Linked DNA regions of Oryzias latipes. The protein of the gene in region 1 purifies or fractionates together with the protein of each later gene. This does not show direct contact. Links are inferred from orthologs where the notes say so. Each region holds a gene or a part of one and is shown in the gene's direction. Other genes may lie near its edges.

The links.
Region 2: the proteins of ebna1bp2 (region 1) and ncl purify together in Homo sapiens (affinity purification with mass spectrometry; 3 studies listed by BioGRID and IntAct, with this or other methods). This does not show direct contact. The link is inferred for Oryzias latipes from reciprocal best matches to the Homo sapiens genes EBNA1BP2 and NCL.
Region 3: the proteins of ebna1bp2 (region 1) and nop56 purify together in Homo sapiens (affinity purification with mass spectrometry; 4 studies listed by BioGRID and IntAct, with this or other methods). This does not show direct contact. The link is inferred for Oryzias latipes from reciprocal best matches to the Homo sapiens genes EBNA1BP2 and NOP56.
Region 4: the proteins of ebna1bp2 (region 1) and brix1 purify together in Homo sapiens (affinity purification with mass spectrometry; 4 studies listed by BioGRID and IntAct, counting the BioPlex papers as one, with this or other methods). This does not show direct contact. The link is inferred for Oryzias latipes from reciprocal best matches to the Homo sapiens genes EBNA1BP2 and BRIX1.

What each region holds. Positions count from the first base shown.
Region 1 is NC_019862.2:16,838,041-16,842,500, reverse strand, and holds the start of ebna1bp2 (probable rRNA-processing protein EBP2), read left to right. Parts: upstream 1-1,634; 5' UTR 1,635-1,743; coding exon 1,744-1,839; intron 1,840-2,031; coding exon 2,032-2,115; intron 2,116-2,233; coding exon 2,234-2,397; intron 2,398-2,950; coding exon 2,951-3,074; intron 3,075-3,614; coding exon 3,615-3,704; intron 3,705-3,809; coding exon 3,810-3,885; intron 3,886-3,980; coding exon 3,981-4,071; intron 4,072-4,157; coding exon 4,158-4,320; intron 4,321-4,413; coding exon 4,414-4,460. UniProt on the Homo sapiens protein: Required for the processing of the 27S pre-rRNA.
Region 2 is NC_019862.2:11,722,604-11,724,990, forward strand, and holds part of ncl (nucleolin), read left to right. Parts: intron 1-165; coding exon 166-249; intron 250-293; exon of another isoform or gene 294-350; intron 351-428; coding exon 429-552; intron 553-997; coding exon 998-1,134; intron 1,135-1,222; coding exon 1,223-1,349; intron 1,350-1,484; coding exon 1,485-1,621; intron 1,622-1,789; coding exon 1,790-1,919; intron 1,920-1,961; exon of another isoform or gene 1,962-2,096; intron 2,097-2,330; coding exon 2,331-2,387. UniProt on the Homo sapiens protein: Nucleolin is the major nucleolar protein of growing eukaryotic cells. It is found associated with intranucleolar chromatin and pre-ribosomal particles. It induces chromatin decondensation by binding to histone H1.
Region 3 is NC_019863.2:17,294,743-17,299,133, reverse strand, and holds the start of nop56 (nucleolar protein 56), read left to right. Parts: upstream 1-1,473; 5' UTR 1,474-1,590; coding exon 1,591-1,593; intron 1,594-2,079; exon of another isoform or gene 2,080-2,098; coding exon 2,099-2,188; intron 2,189-2,274; coding exon 2,275-2,389; intron 2,390-2,647; coding exon 2,648-2,812; intron 2,813-3,028; coding exon 3,029-3,227; intron 3,228-3,539; coding exon 3,540-3,727; intron 3,728-3,780; exon of another isoform or gene 3,781-3,901; intron 3,902-3,969; coding exon 3,970-4,121; intron 4,122-4,297; coding exon 4,298-4,391. UniProt on the Homo sapiens protein: Involved in the early to middle stages of 60S ribosomal subunit biogenesis. Required for the biogenesis of box C/D snoRNAs such U3, U8 and U14 snoRNAs. Part of the small subunit (SSU) processome, first precursor of the small eukaryotic ribosomal subunit.
Region 4 is NC_019870.2:9,826,645-9,831,023, reverse strand, and holds the start of brix1 (ribosome biogenesis protein BRX1 homolog), read left to right. Parts: upstream 1-1,530; 5' UTR 1,531-1,574; coding exon 1,575-1,712; intron 1,713-2,362; coding exon 2,363-2,474; intron 2,475-2,558; coding exon 2,559-2,602; intron 2,603-2,676; coding exon 2,677-2,747; intron 2,748-2,838; coding exon 2,839-2,888; intron 2,889-2,968; coding exon 2,969-3,042; intron 3,043-3,323; coding exon 3,324-3,374; intron 3,375-3,503; coding exon 3,504-3,605; intron 3,606-3,709; coding exon 3,710-3,838; intron 3,839-4,043; coding exon 4,044-4,292; 3' UTR 4,293-4,379. Other genes in the region: dnajc21 (dnaJ homolog subfamily C member 21), read right to left, coding at 644-740. UniProt on the Homo sapiens protein: Required for biogenesis of the 60S ribosomal subunit.

The sequences.
Region 1 (4,460 bases):
ATTTGTAAATATTTCTTGTTGGACCAGATGGAAAAGAAAAGGAGGAAAGAAGAGAGAGGGATGACAGATAACTGGGGGTGGGGTAGAAGGGGGATTATAGTAGCGAGGGTAAGATCGTGAAGCCTCAGAAAGCAACAAGTTGCTGGAGCTTTATAATCACAACTGACAGGTTAAGATGCATGAAAAATCTAAAATGGGCGGGGCTTGTCCACATGCACACACTCAAATGTTACAAACACACCTGTTGGCTCCAAAAGTGTTCACACACAAATAAGTCTACATGGATACCACTTACATTCACACACGCATACTTATGCATTCAGACTAACACATGTGAAACATTTCATTCAGTCACGCAAACTTGTGCAAAGGTGAGATAGCACCTGTGCTCGAGTGAGTGTTTATGTTCTTCTGGGGTGGATGATGGAATGTAAAAAGAGAGACAGAGCCCAGCCGCCCCCCCACCAAGGCCCCCACCGCAGCAGCGGCAGCAGCCGGGACCCCTCAACACCCGCACAGTACAGCAGATAGAGAACGCTCATGGAGTCAATGTCAGGAAAACGCTCTCTTGTCTTCGGGTGTGTGTGTTGTTTTTTGAGAATACCAGCAACAACAATAACAAAAGCAATAATAATAATAATTCTTTCATTCATCATCTAAAACCGTTAAATCCCTTTTGGGGTCGCTTGGCTGCTGGAGCCTATCCCAGCCACTTATGTGAAAGGCAGGTCACCAGTCTGACACAGGGCCACAATCCCACACACACTCCCATTCCCACCAAGGGACAGAGTAACCAATTAACCTATGAAGCATAAGTCCCTGGGGGAACCCACAAATGGACGAGGAGAACATGCATACTCCACATAGGGAAGTCCAACCATAATAATGATGATTCATTCATTTATTCATTCATTCATCATTCATCTTCTTCTGTTTTGTCCCAATTTGGGGTCACAGGATGCCAGAGGCCAATCACCGCCAATTGTGCGCGAAGGCAGGGGACACCATGGACAGGTCACCAGTCTTTTGGAGGGCCACAATAACACATTCACTCTCACACTCACACCTAGGGACAATTTAGAGTTGCCAATTAACCTAGCCAGAGACCCCAGAGAAAACCGGGGAGAACATGCAAACTCCACACAAACAGGTCCCCCATTGGTGTTCTGGTTCAGGTCCCCCAGCCGGGACTTAAACCGGGGGCCTTCTTGCTGTGAGGCACGGGCGCTAACCAATGTTCCACCGTGCAGCAATAATGATGATGCTGATAATGATATTATTATTATTATTATTATTATTATTATTATTATTATTATTAATAATAATAATAATAATAATAATAATAATAATAATAATAATAATTTTTTTACATTTTTGTTTTACACTAACATGTTTGGTGGCTCTCTCCAGCTGAATTTGAAAGACACTTAGGTTTCACCTTGTTTTCTTTTTCTGCCGGTTGAAACTGCGGGTAATATTTTAATTTGGGAAAAAATAAATAAATGAACAACCTTGATAATAAATAAATTACCATTGCATTATTATTCTTGAGTGTAACAGTGGAATGTATTTTCTTTTTGTAGGAACCTTTTGTTTTGATCGCAGTTTTCCACCGGCGCACTCTGCTTGTAGAACTTCCGATGACGTCATTTCTCCCCGCGTGAACGCTAGTACACGTGAGGAAAATCGAAGCGTCCAAAACAATTAACTTTTCTTGGTTGTTTGGAAAGATTTGCCCTCTTTATGGTTATAGCCGTAAACACGATGGAGTCTGCAGAAGAGGAGTCGCTTCTCGGCCTGGATTCAGAGGAAGAAGGCAGCGAGTTATCGGATGGAGAGGTGAGTTTTTATGCTAACCGGACTCAAGCTCTGATAGTTGTTCAGCTAAAAGTTATCATTATATGATGTACGCTTTGGGGATTTGTTTTCCCCTTTTTTAAAAAATTGGTTAAAGTTATTGTCTCTGAAAGATTTGGTCTAAGTGATTATTCTAATTTACGAAAGGTAATGTATTAATTTATTTAACTGTAGCTTCAGGAAGCCTTCACCAAAGGGTTGCTGAAACCTGGAATGAACGTTCTGGTGGATAAATCTAAGAAATTGGTAAACAATGTGGTAAGTTGGTTTTCTTACAGTTTTAGTTACACCTGTGATGAAGCTACTACTCTTAAATTAAGAGAAAAAAAGTGTATTATTTATAGTGCATTTATGTGAACATGTTTAATGGCTGCAGGAGGGGTTAAAAGAGTGTCTTGCTGACTTCCGGAAAGACCTCTCCTGGGTGGAAAGGTTAGACCTCAGCACTCTTCCAGTCTTATCCCAAGTGGAAGGGAAAGTTCCTGCTGAGATAAATGGAGGACCGGATGCAGAGGATGATTTCCAGAGGGAGATGTTCTTGTAAGTGACCACTGTGTTCTAGACCTCGGGTTCAAAGTATTATCATAATCTGGGTTCGGTTATCACATTTGCAAAACATTTCTTTACCCTGTCATAATTGCAATCTGCAATTTGTTCTTACACATTTGTACGACTGCATGTCATTGTTGATCCTAATTTAGAGCTTTGACTAAAGATACTCCACACACCCAATAAACCTGACATTGGTGCTGGTAAAAACACATCATGCGTGTTTTTATTTTTTTCTAATAAAATGACATTTCAAAATATTGAGCTCAGGATTCAGATTTGAATTTTTTTTTAAATCACCGGTGGGAATATTTTGTAACAGGATTTTGTAATGGTCATATGGTGTTCTAGGCTACAGCTTTTTTTTCTTTAAAGGAACTTTTTTTAAAGCAACCATTTACAGTTTTCAGAAACGGGAAAAAAAAGAGTTATTGAAGTTTTGATCTAATGAGGAAAAACAAATGACCAGGTTTGTGTGTTTGTGTTAAACTGAAGTGATGGCTGTTTAAACTGATGATGTCATTTGTTTTGTTTTCTTTTACAGTTACCGTCAAGCTCAAGCCACAGTCCTGGAGGCCCTCCCTCTCCTGAGGAAGCATGACATAAACACCAGAAGGCCTGATGATTACTTTGCAGAAATGGCCAAGTCCGATCAGCACATGCAGAAGGTGACTTGCTTTCATTCATGCTAAAGGGGGTGTGCTTTCTAACATGTTCTAAGCTCCAAACATTAATCATGGATAGTACTTGGCAGGAATGTGGCTTTCTGTTTATTTGTAGCAGATGTCTGATAGAAAAGTTAAGCTGGACCTTTGTAATATGGATGGCTGTGGACCCATAAAGACTAAAAAGCTTTAGGAAGATGCAAATTCATGAAGAAATGGCTTGAAAAATATGGATTACTTGTGTTGATTGTTAGTAATTACTATAGCAAACTGCACAGTTTGCTGAAAGACATAGATGTGGCACAGAAAGGGTCAAGCGGATCAAAACGCATGTGTAGAGAAAGAAATAGCCAGACTCCAGCTGTTTGTTTCATTTTCTTTGTACGGATTTGTAGGTTTTAATTGTTCTTTAGAAGGTTTTCAAATTCACTTCTGTAAATCTGTGGAGACCCTGTAATAGGTTTGTGAACAAAATGCAGTCTTTTACTTTACAGGAGTTGGAAAACAGGAACAAACCTGTTTTGTTTTGTTTTTGTTTTCCAGATCAGGCAGAAGCTGACCGCAAAGCAGATGATTTTGGAAAAGTCTGAAAAGGCCAAGAAACTGCGGGAGCAACGGAAATTTGGCAAAAAGGTTTGTTTTTGCTGAGACTTGTTCTTAACCGCCTCTCACTCTGTAGATACGAAGACGTGTTTGTGCTCCAAATGGTGAGGGAACCTCTGTCTGATTGTTTGCCAGGTCCAAATAGAGGTGATCCAGAAGAGACAGAAGGAGAAGAAGGCTATGATGTCTGCTGTAAAGAAATACCAGAAAGGTGAGGACTTGGGTTTTGTTTCTGTGGCCATGATATGTACTTTGTAATTGTTAAATGCCAAATCTGATGCATTCTTTTACATTTTCTTATTCCAGGAATGTCAGATAAACTGGACTTTTTGGAAGGAGACCAGAAGATGGGTAATAATTCTTCAGGAGGTCCCAGTAAAGCAGTGAACAAAAAAGGGTAAAGCTTCTCCCCTCTGCTTTTTTCCTCTTTTGCTTCTGTCATATTTTCTCTAAATTCCTCTGGTTTTCCCTTGGATTCTTCAGCCCCAGTGCTAAGCGGAAATACAAGGACCAAAAGTTTGGTTTTGGAGGCAAAAAGAGCGGGAAGAAGTGGAACACCAAGGAGAGCTACAACGATGTTTCTGGTTTCAAAGCCAGAGTGGCGCACGCCAAGGGAGGAAAGAAGGGCAAACAAGGAAAACAAAACGTGAGCCACACAGACAAAACCAAAGATGCATTTATTTATCGTTAAATAATTTGTCAAGTTGATGTAACCCGAATTTTTCTTCTGGGCTTTCAGAAACGTCCCGGCAAATCTGTGCGCAAGAAGATGAAAGGCCGCTCGTA
Region 2 (2,387 bases), about 5.1 Mb from region 1:
TAAATGTTGCATAGTTTTAAAGCATAAACTCACGGTTAAACTAATGCTAAGACAGCACATCATGAATATAAGTAACAAATATTTTTGGTCTCGATTTTGCATTGAAAAAAAATTAAACATTTCCTGCATACAACTTTGTACAAAGTCTTTTTTCTGTCTGAACAGAAGCCCCAGCTAAAGCTGCAAAGAGAAAGGCAGATGGAAAGAAAGAACCAGTTCCTGCTAAGAAAGCAAAGTCTGATGGAGAAGGCAAGTACAGACATGTTGGTTTATCATTCTGAAGTTTATTTCTCATGATGATCAACAAGGGACTTAATACTGATGTGTGATGTCACCTTGAATTATTCTGAATATGCTTGGCCTTATTCTGCATTTATTGCTTTCACCCACATTTGGATTGTAAAAACTGTTGTTTTGTGTTTTTCCAGGCTTCTGCTTGTTTGTTGGAAACCTCAACTCCAACAAAGACTTTGACGAAATCAAAGCCTCGCTCAGAAAATTCTTCTCCAAAAACAGTCTAGAGATTGTTGATGTCCGGTTAGGAGGTTCCAAGTAAGTTTAAAAAAAAAACACACACGTCTTGCCCGGACAAGAATGTGTGTTAAAACCTGAGATGTAGGGGTGTTTTCCCCACAGTCATTTGGGAACCTTTGTCCTTTTAAAGGTCTTCCTGGTCATTGCTTCCTTTCATGGCTCACTTGTTTTAACTCAAATAAATATATGGTTACCCCGGTTTCAATTGCATTGCACCACAAGTTTAAGCTTTTTAAGAGTGTTGTTCAAAATGTTTGTTGCTTGCTTCACAATGTGTGATATAGCGATCCTGCAATGATTCATTTTTAGGGGTTGGAGAAGAGCGACTGAATTCAAGACAACTCAAATGTTTTTGTGATCTTAAATAAAGAAATTCACGAGTTCAGCCAAAAACCTTTGATGTTCATTTAAGGTAGATTTAATTTGAGGTCTAATTTTCTAATTTTGCATCTTGCTTCAATAGGAAATTTGGCTACGTTGACTTTGCCTCAGAGGAAGACATGAACAAGGCAATGGAGCTTAATGGCAAGAAATTCATGGGTCAAGAACTAAAGCTGGACAAGGCCCGTCAGAAAGATAACTCACAGGAAGGAAAGAAAGGTAAACATGCACCTTTGCAAAGTTTGTCTGCTAAATGTTTGAAGTCTGTATTATCAGTGTTTTTCTAAAATTGATATTGGTTCTACAGAGAGAGATGCGCGGACCCTTTTTGTTAAAAATCTTCCGTTTTCTGCCACGGTTGATGACCTGAAGGAATTGTTTGAAGATGCGGTTGATGTCCGGTTACCTCAGGGACAAAACGGTTCAAATAGAGGGTAAGAAAAAACTCAATTACAGAAGTCACTTTTATAGTTTGAAATCTTTAAAATAACTTACCAGCCTTATGCCCAATTGTTTCTAGTTATATCTTACCTTGTCCTCATATCAGCTTTTCTGTTTCTTTAATGCAGCATTGCCTACATTGAATTCAAATCTGAAGCTGTCGCAGAGAAGATGATGGAGGAGGCCCAGGGAGCCGATGTGCAAGGGAGGTCCATCATTTTAGACTTTGTTGGAGATAAGAGCCAAAAAGGTGGCAGAATGTCAGGTACTGAGTCCTGTATTGATGATATGTAACTACCCAGAACTGTTAGTAAAATCCTTTAAATATATGTACTCAGTAACTGGTTCAAATGCTCAAACCTTAAAACCTGCTTAGGTGTGATGAAAGTTAATTGGGAATTGAACAATTTCTACCCTTTTTGTTGCCGTTTAGCATCAGGAGGAGTCAACAAAACGTTGGTTGTAAATAATCTGGCCTTCAGTGCCACAGAAGATGTTCTACAGTCTACGTTTGAAAAAGCAGCTTCCATAAGGATTCCTCAAAGGGACGGCAGACCTAAAGGGTAAGTGCTGGAGAAGACGGTTATTGTTTACAATTCTAGAGCACCTTCTCATGAGCTCCTCTCAATCGCATCCATGATTCTGTACGGATTCGCACGAGAAGCAGAGCCAGTGCACAGATCAAAACAGGCTCGCCCTACATGCTTATGGGTGTTGCCCATGTCTGCTGTGCAACAAATATTTTGATTTGATGAATATTTGATAAAATGATAATTTAAGAAAGCTGTTTAAACAGTTGTAATAAAATTGTACCTGTATAAATTATTGTTTTCAATAAAAAATCTTTCTAGTGTTCTCAGTATTTTCAGTAGCTAAATACCAATTGTAATAAATTTGAATGTCAATACTTCATCAATCAGAAGCAGCATTCTGTGTTGCCTGGTAATAATGTTAGTTTTTTTTTTTTGCTCTAGTTTTGCTTTTATAGAGTTTGAGAACGCAGAGGATGCCAAAGAAGCATTGGAAAACTT
Region 3 (4,391 bases), on another chromosome or scaffold:
CCTGAATGAAAGCAAAATGGCATTGTGGTTAGGCTTTATTGCTGTCGAGGTGAGAGTGTGTTGCCTGAAATATAACAATTCTATGTGACGGGTCTGTAATCACAGCTCTGAGAGTCCTGTGTAGTAAAAACACGTTAACACGTTGACACATGAAACCTTTTTACATTTTTCCATCACTTTGCACTTGCAGTTTATTTATTGTACAGTTGTACGGTACAGAAATCCTGGTTTTAGTCATCTGAGGAATTTGAACTATCCTGTATAAAAAGATATTCCTCATAATGTTTAAAGTACGTGAAAAAGATAAATCACATCCATTTTGATGTCCTTTTTTCCCATTTTTGTTTTCATTCATTATTGTTGGTTTTGCTCATTTTTTCTTTGTAGCTTTTTAAACGTTTGTCATATTTCTGTTAAAGAATCATGATATAATTCACATTTTTGATGTAAAAGTTGGACCAACTAATAGTTTTTTTCTCAGCAAGTAATGCAACCTGCCTTATACAGTTTTTATATGTTTTATAATTGTATTTTATTGCAAATAAACATGTTTTGCTGATTAGTGTTTTCTTTATATTTTCAGTAATTTAGTCTCTTTGGAGTGTCAGGTCTGTGTTTGAATAATTAAATCTCAACACTCCTGTTGATGAAAAGCTTTCAAGAAGAAAAAATGCATTTTTCGGATTAAAATACATTTAAAATAATTTTTCCATTGTTGCAGCAACATTTCATCTTTAGTTACTTTCTGTCCAAAAGAATAGTTCTTTACCTTTTTTTGTCCACAATATGTTTCTAAGCGAAGTACCTTTTAATCAACTTAGGACAGTTAGATTTGAAAGTAGCTTTGATAAAAGCAAATAAAAGTGCTTTTAGTGATTAAAAGACATGCAGCAATTTAGTGTAAAAAATGAGTAAGCAGCAATTTAACCATAAAATACCTAAATGAAGAAATTAAATAAAAAATACTAGACTGGAAAGACTCAGAGGAAAATATGACATTTGTCCAAGCCTGTCCAAAGCCCATGCAAAATGATTTCCAATGATTACTTTTACTGAAAAAGCTTCTTGATAAAAAATGTGTGACTTAAATGTGAGTAGACACTTCTATACAGATGAATGAATCTGAATAGACTTGTGTATACTGTTTTTGCAAAGATGTTTATTTGTGATTATTACACTTTCAAGAAAATGAGATGGCACCATTTTCTTTTATCTTTGGTTATTTTTCTTTACTTTCTAATTAACGTATTACTTCAAATCTGAAATAATTTAGATATATATAGGTTTTGTCATTTCTATTGTATTATTCCTATATTTTGATGCTTTAAATAAATAATTCAATAAATACTCCAATAAAAATAAAAAATGTGATGTAATGCACTGGTTGATGATCAATAAAAAAATTCGGAGGTGCCATAATTGTGAACAAGAGGTGAAGCCAAGCTCGCAGCAGCTGTGAAAGAAAGGCGGAGAGGGAGGAGCCAGTATAATCTCGCGAGATGTGGGTCATGTCAAAGTTTTCTGCTCTCTTTTCGTGTGTGGAAGCAGCGGAGCAGACACGTTGTGTGCCGCTGCGCAGATTTAGCCATCATGGTAAGATAAATGACTCTTGTGCACCGCCACCTTTATTCTGAAGAAACAACTTGAAGCTACGCAGAGGCGATAAATCCCCTTGTACTTGTTCAAATGACGTTTAAAAAGTCAAGGGAAAAAATGACGACCGTTTTTTGCGGCTAGCCGCCTGTGCGGAAAGAATAGGCGGGAGTGTCTAAAGTTGTTTTAACAGCCACAGACTGAATTGGTGAAAAGGTACATGAACAGCTGTGTTAGTCAAAATATATTATGTATACAGAGTTTGAAGGATTTTAAAACCGCGTGAAGGGGTAATCGCTAAGCAGTTAGCATTAGTTAGCTTAATAGCAAGTTTGCCTGGGCCCAGGTCAAACACGTGGGTTCGACAAGCCACCACGTGGTTCCAGTTTAAAGTAATTCATATCTGCCTAAATCAACTTGCAATAAAACCACTTTTACTACAAATGTCATTTGGGATAAATCTTAAAGGGATTTATTGTTACTTACTTAAATGTACCTTTCGCAGGTTTTGCTGCACGTGTTGTTCGAGCACGCGGCGGGCTACGCGCTGTTCGCCGTGAAGGAGGTGGAGGAGATCGGCATGCTTCTCCCCCAGGTGAGCCTGTTCTCCTGCGTGTCCCGGTCTGGTGTGTTGTCGGGAGTGGATCAGAGCGGTGAACGGTGTCTGTGTGTCCGTCGCAGGTGGAGGAGAGCGTGCTGAGCATCGGGAAGTTCAACAGCATGGTGAGCTTGGCTGCTTTTTTCCCCTTCAAGTCCGCCCAGGCCGCCCTGGAGAACATCAACGCAATTTCTGAAGGCAAGTCGTATTTATTTACTGAATGGGTTTGTTTTTTAAGATTCTCAGCTGTAATGATGGTTTACAATCTGTCAATCCACTGATAAAATGTGATGATATTTTTATGTTACTGCTGAACATCTGGGGAAAAGTTGAGTTTATTCATGCATCTTTTAGTGATTAAGACTATTTCCTGGTGCATAAGAAGTGTTTGCTGGCTGCATGGTTGGATTACGGGTTGTGTTTTTGCTAAAGGTTGCGATGTTTTTTCCAATGCAGGCGTCGTTCATGCTGATCTGAAGCTGTTTCTGGAGACAAACCTTGCTCTATCTGGAAAGAAGAAGCCGTCTTTAGGGGTTTCTGATGCCAAGATCGGAGCTGCGCTGCAAGAAGAACTGAACATCTCCATACAAACCGGTGGAGTGGTGGCTGAGATAACTAGAGGTGCGTTATGTCTTTGTTTGAATACAGACGTGAACTCAGTTATTACTTTATTACTGTGAATGTTAATATAAAAAGGGGTGGTCTGTTGTGATGCACTTTTGATCCTGACATTTGTGATGGTTTATACTGAAAATCTGAACAGCCCCCAGATGTTTCCGGTTTTGTGGCAGTTTCCTTTTGCGCCCACAAACCCTCCTGTTTGCTTTCACTTTGCAGGTATTCGCCTTCACTTCCACTCTCTGGTGAAGGGTCTGACCTCTCTCGCCGCCTCCAAGGCACAGCTTGGTCTGGGTCACAGCTACTCCAGAGCGAAGGTCAAGTTTAACGTGAATCGGGCTGACAACATGATCATCCAGTCCATTGCTTTGTTGGATCAGCTGGATAAAGACATCAACACTTTCTCCATGCGTGTGCGGTAAGCTGGTTGTTTAGGATGTTTTTGTTTTGGTTCCAGGGTAAAACTGAATTAAATTCTATAAAAGTTTGAAAGATAAAGTGTCCTCCTAATGCTTACCACAGACAGTGCACCTCAGAGTGTTGTCTGTATAGAAACAGGAGGTACATCAGCCTTCTCCTAACATTTGCGCGGTACTTGCTGACATCTCGTAACGCCACACTGTTTGGGGGGATACATTTCCCTGTCTGGTTTTTCCCTAACGTGTGCATTTTAGTTTTGAAGGGTTATATCACACAGGATATTCATAGTTTGTTTCCTTGTGCACTCCAGGGAATGGTATGGCTACCACTTCCCGGAGCTGATCAAGATCGTTTCAGAGAACTCAATGTACTGCCGCCTGGCCCAGCTCATTGGCAACAGGAAGGAGCTCACAGAGGAGAAGCTGGAGAGCCTGGAGGAGGTGGTGATGGACAGTGCCAAAGCTCAGGCCATTCTGGAGGCGTCTCGCTCCTCTATGGGTCAGAATTTAAGCCAGTACCCTACTGTAGCGTTGATCTTATAAGCCCCTTTTATGCCCACCCTGGACCGATAATCGTCCTGGGTGCCTAACACAGGGGGGTAGATGATATCTCTCATAAACCTGTAGTGAAGGCGTGTCCTCCTCACTGCGGATCCTGTCGGGAGAAACAATCCCACAGTGCAGCTCAAAATACAAACTGGTCCTTTTCTTTGTTCATAGCTATCGTCTTTTCCCTTTCAGGAATGGACATCTCTCCAATTGACCTGATCAACATTGAGAGGTTTTCCAACCGTGTTGTGTCCCTGGCTGCGTATCGCCAGGGGCTGCAGGAGTATCTGCGCTCTAAGATGTCGCAGGTCGCTCCAAACTTGGCAGCCTTGATTGGAGAAGTGGTGAGGAAACGCTTGTGTCTCTGTCTGTTTCTTGGACCAATGATGTTTTGCCAAAATCTGTCAATCCCCTGAATCCGTGTGATGAGAACTACATCGGTGCTGATGGTCCTCTGCACATTTTCCTAAGCTCAGAGTTTCAGAATTTTGTTCCGACTCATAGTTTTCTTGCGTTTTAGGTTGGAGCTAGACTGATCTCTCATGCTGGAAGTTTGACCAACTTGGCCAAGTACCCAGCATCAACCGTTCAGATCTTGGGAGCGGAAAAGGCCC
Region 4 (4,379 bases), on another chromosome or scaffold:
TCTGCAAGAATGATCAACACACAAACACACAGTGGAAGCCTTTTCAGAAGAGTAGAAGATGCTAAAGTTCTTATCAATGCTTCAAATGTTTAAACAGGGATTCTGAAAATGTTGTCATCATCTTGGCCCACAGTGTTTACTAATCATTAAGTTAAAATATAGTTATGCTGTGGAAAAAAATCTCATTTAGGCCTAGGTTGATCTTCCTGATGTAATGGAAGTTATAAGATACAGGGCAGAAGACACTTACAGTAATAGTAATAGTAGTTTATTCAAGGGAATTTATTTGAAAAAAAGAATGTGGTTATTCACAGTTAAAAAGCACGAATTAGTCAAACTCTAATTTCCTCTAAAGTCCCCAGGCCATGATGTAAAAAAAAGCCCAAATACATATACAATAAATGAAAATAAAAATAACATATACAACGGATCTTGAAGGAATACAGCTTTTATTTTGTAACGTTTTATGTTGATGGGATACTCATCGCGAAAAAAAACATAATTACAAGCGTCTCAACAGACTCTCTTTCTCCAAGACATTTTAATAATAATAATAATAATTAAAATTACAATAACAAATGCTTTGATTAATAGGATCTTCCCATCCAGCCGCCGGCAGAAAGAAACTGTTTTCAACACTTACCTGGATGCCATTTTAAGGCTAATTTTCGATACGCTTTCTTCAGATCGTCGTCTCCTGCGTCTCGTTTAACACCCAAAATATCATAGTGACACTTCATCTTTATAAAAATGTGGCTTTTATCTTTTTAAAACACTAATTCTTATCCACGTTGTACCTTTAGCATTCACTCTGCAGTTGCCGCATGCTAGCAAACAGCTAGCCTCTCTGCTATCTATTAGAGGAATAAAAAAGGTACTTTTTATTACATTACAAAAGTCGTGTTATAATTAAACCTTCCATGTCCAAATCTAAGGTTTATAATTCAAATAATTAAAGAGTTGTCAATTTTGTTGTCGTCAATTTGGACAGTGTTACGAGGATTTGAATACTGACTTGTCTTAATGCCGCTAAATCTCGCGAGAAGTATGTGCCACGTTTTCTTCTTCTACGTAGAAGCTAAATTTCTGGTTTGAGTTTGCTGCAACCTGTGGACCAAAAAAGCGACACTTTCTACTCATACAATTTTGTTGATTTGCGTGGTCATTTTTAATGTATAAGTCACCAGATGGGGTTTAATTCTGTTATATAAGCTGGTTTAAATAATATTTCCATCCATGGTTGACATGATACATACGGACGTTTTGCAGAAAATGTAGAAGTCTTGCACATTTCTTAAAACTCTATTTTATGCCTAATGTGAGAACATTAATCTGAAACACGAATCTAACTGTCTGACTCACTGCTGTACCTGTTAAATACTGTCAAAAATCACAACAGATGTTTTTTTAGACGTCTACGCACAGCTAAGAAAGCTGAACAAGGACAAACTCAAATTTACTTTTCTCGTTTGCAGTACAGCCTCCACGCCGCTAGGGGTCTCTACTTCGACTTCGACTTGCTTGGATTACCTTTTTGAGCGAGCTTTCTGAAGAATCTTGTCTACTGTAGAAACATGGCGGCTTTCAAGAGAAAACGTGGAGTGCATGTTACAGCTGAAAAAACAACAAAAAAGGTTAAATTCGTCGCAGATGATGGGAACACCGAACAGAACGCGGTAAATGAAATAGTCGTCCCTAAGCCGGTTTCCATGGTAAGTGCTCGCAGCTTTTAAAGAAGAGTATTAGCCTAGTTTTAGCTAACTTGCTAATGGTTTTTCAGTGTTGTTTTCACTGACATGATATGTCTTGTTCGGTTTACTATATGTAAAAGTGCCACGGAGACTAAAAAAGCAAACTATTTCAAAAGTTTAAGATGCAGCATTTTAATCTGTGATCTGTTAAGGCAAGAAAATACTTGGTTACATTTACGAGTACGTTGAGAAAGTTTATTAATTCAATAATATAAATATATAAATAAACTGAAAACATCCTCAAACTAGGACAAAATTATACTTTCAATTACAAAAAAATGAAGGTCTTTATTGTTTATAATTTCATCCGACAAAAGTCAAGAAGTCTTTGACATCAGGCAGCCTTATTGCCAAAAACTCAAACCAAAAGATGTTCCTTAATAATACCTGTAATTAGAATGATGTCAACATGCTAGCATATATAAGTTCAAACTGTCGCTCTGTACGTAGTTGGATTTGTTATTTTATCTATATTACTTTTTTATTCGGGTTTATTTCGGGAAAACTACATTTGACGTCTACTTGAGAAAAATTTTCAAATTCATATTTTTCTTTTCTAATGATACCCGCCTCTGCCTGTGATCATATCCTAACGTCTGTCTCACAAACAGGGAAAATGGACCAACAAGGAACGGGTTCTTATTTTCTCCTCCAGAGGAATCAACTTCAGGACGAGGCATCTGATGCAGGACTTGAGGACCTTGATGCCTCATTCAAAAGCAGGTAAATAACTCAATATGTTTAGACTGAGAAGCAGTGACTGCAGGATGAGCAGAAAACACGTCACTTGTTTTGTTTTCTACTTAGATACAAAAATGGACAGGAAGGATAAGCTGTTTGTTGTCAATGAGGTACGCCTGCAGTTGAAATTGAGCTACTGTGACCTACTAGAAACACTAGATGATGTCTTTTTTTTTTTCTGCAGGTCTGCGAGATCAAGAACTGCAATAAATGCCTCTTTTTTGAAGCCAAAAAGAAGCAGGATCTCTACATGTGGTAAGTGTCTGATTCGAGGTTTACACACGCTCCTGAAGTTTTTATTTTTATTTTATTTGAACAAAGTTTGACACATTTTAACACATTTCAGGATCTCTAATTGCCCGCATGGACCTTCTGCAAAGTTTCTGGTTCAGAACAGTAAGTTTTCTACTCTTGTAAATCAGTGTTATGTAGAAGTGTAGCGTAAATGCGATTGACGATGTTTTGCTTCCTTATAGTTCATACTCTGGCTGAACTCAAGATGACAGGAAACTGCTTGAAGGGATCCAGACCGCTGCTCTCGTTTGATCCTGTAGGTAACGTGGAGTCAGAAAAGCCAGGAAATGCTTGACAAGCTATTGTTCCCCTTTTTTCTGCCATCAGTCCAGATTTATTATCAGGAAAAGACAGCTGTTAAACTTAAACAGGTTTTTAAACCATTAAAATAAGGAAGTAACACAAAAAGCCCTAAAAATGTCTGTCTGTTGTTTTTAGTCCTCAGAATGATCCAGCTTCCTGTTTTTATGTTGGAGAACATACATTTATGCCATTTGAAGTTGTACATTTTGATTTCTTTTTCTTTTTCTTTCACAGACATTCGATAAGGAGCCCCACTATGCTTTACTGAAGGAACTTTTTATTCAGGTAGGATTTAGAAGCACTTCATCCTCAGTATTACATAAAGGGTTCAGGGGGGTTATGTTGGTTTGGAGATGCATGTTTACAAAACAACTGACATTTTTAATTTAAAGGAAGAACTTTTTTTGCTTGTAGACCTTTTCCACTCCCCGCTATCACCCAAAGAGCCAGCCCTTTGTGGACCATGTCTTCACCTTCTCCATCGCAGATAACAGAATATGGTTCCGAAACTACCAGGCATGTTGTCAAACTTCAGAAAATGTGGCCTAAAACCTCATTTCAGGTGGTTACACCCACTTAGAGGCAACCTGTTGCCTGATTCCTGATTATTCTGTGCTCAGATCATTGAAGAGGACGCCTCATTGGTGGAGATTGGGCCTCGATTTGTCCTCAACCTCATTAAGATTTTTCAAGGAAGCTTTGGAGGACCGACACTCTACGAAAATCCAAACTTCAAGTCTCCTAACTTGGTAAGATATGATGAGGCATTTGTCATCTGAATTCTAACTTTTCCTGAAGTATTTATTGTTGGTATGATGGACGTTTGCCTTCAGACGGTTTCTAGTGCATTGATGTTCCTAACCTTAAAGGTTCCTGTACCTCAGCGTTCAGTAGAGCAGTGGAATCGGTGCGTGCAGGCAGTTGAAGGGTTTTTCTTGTGTCTTGTGCCGACAGCACCGGCGACAGCTCCGCCTGGCGGCTGCAGCAAAGGTCCGTGAGAAGCAGACTTTAAAGGAGATGCAGAAAGTGAAGAGGAGCGCCGCCAAAGAGGATTTGGAGAAAGATGTCACAGCTGACGTCTTTGTGACACCGGCCGACAAAAAACCTGTTGAAATTCAGACGGAGCCCCCTGAGCCTAAAGCTGAGAAGAAGCACAAATTCAAACCGTCCAAGAGGCAACGGCAGCAGATGGCGCGCAGATAATGGGATTGAGCTGAGATTGAAGAACTTTCTCTCATCCAAATCACCCGCAGAGAAAACATGATTCCCCCCGAATTTTTTTTTTGTAAT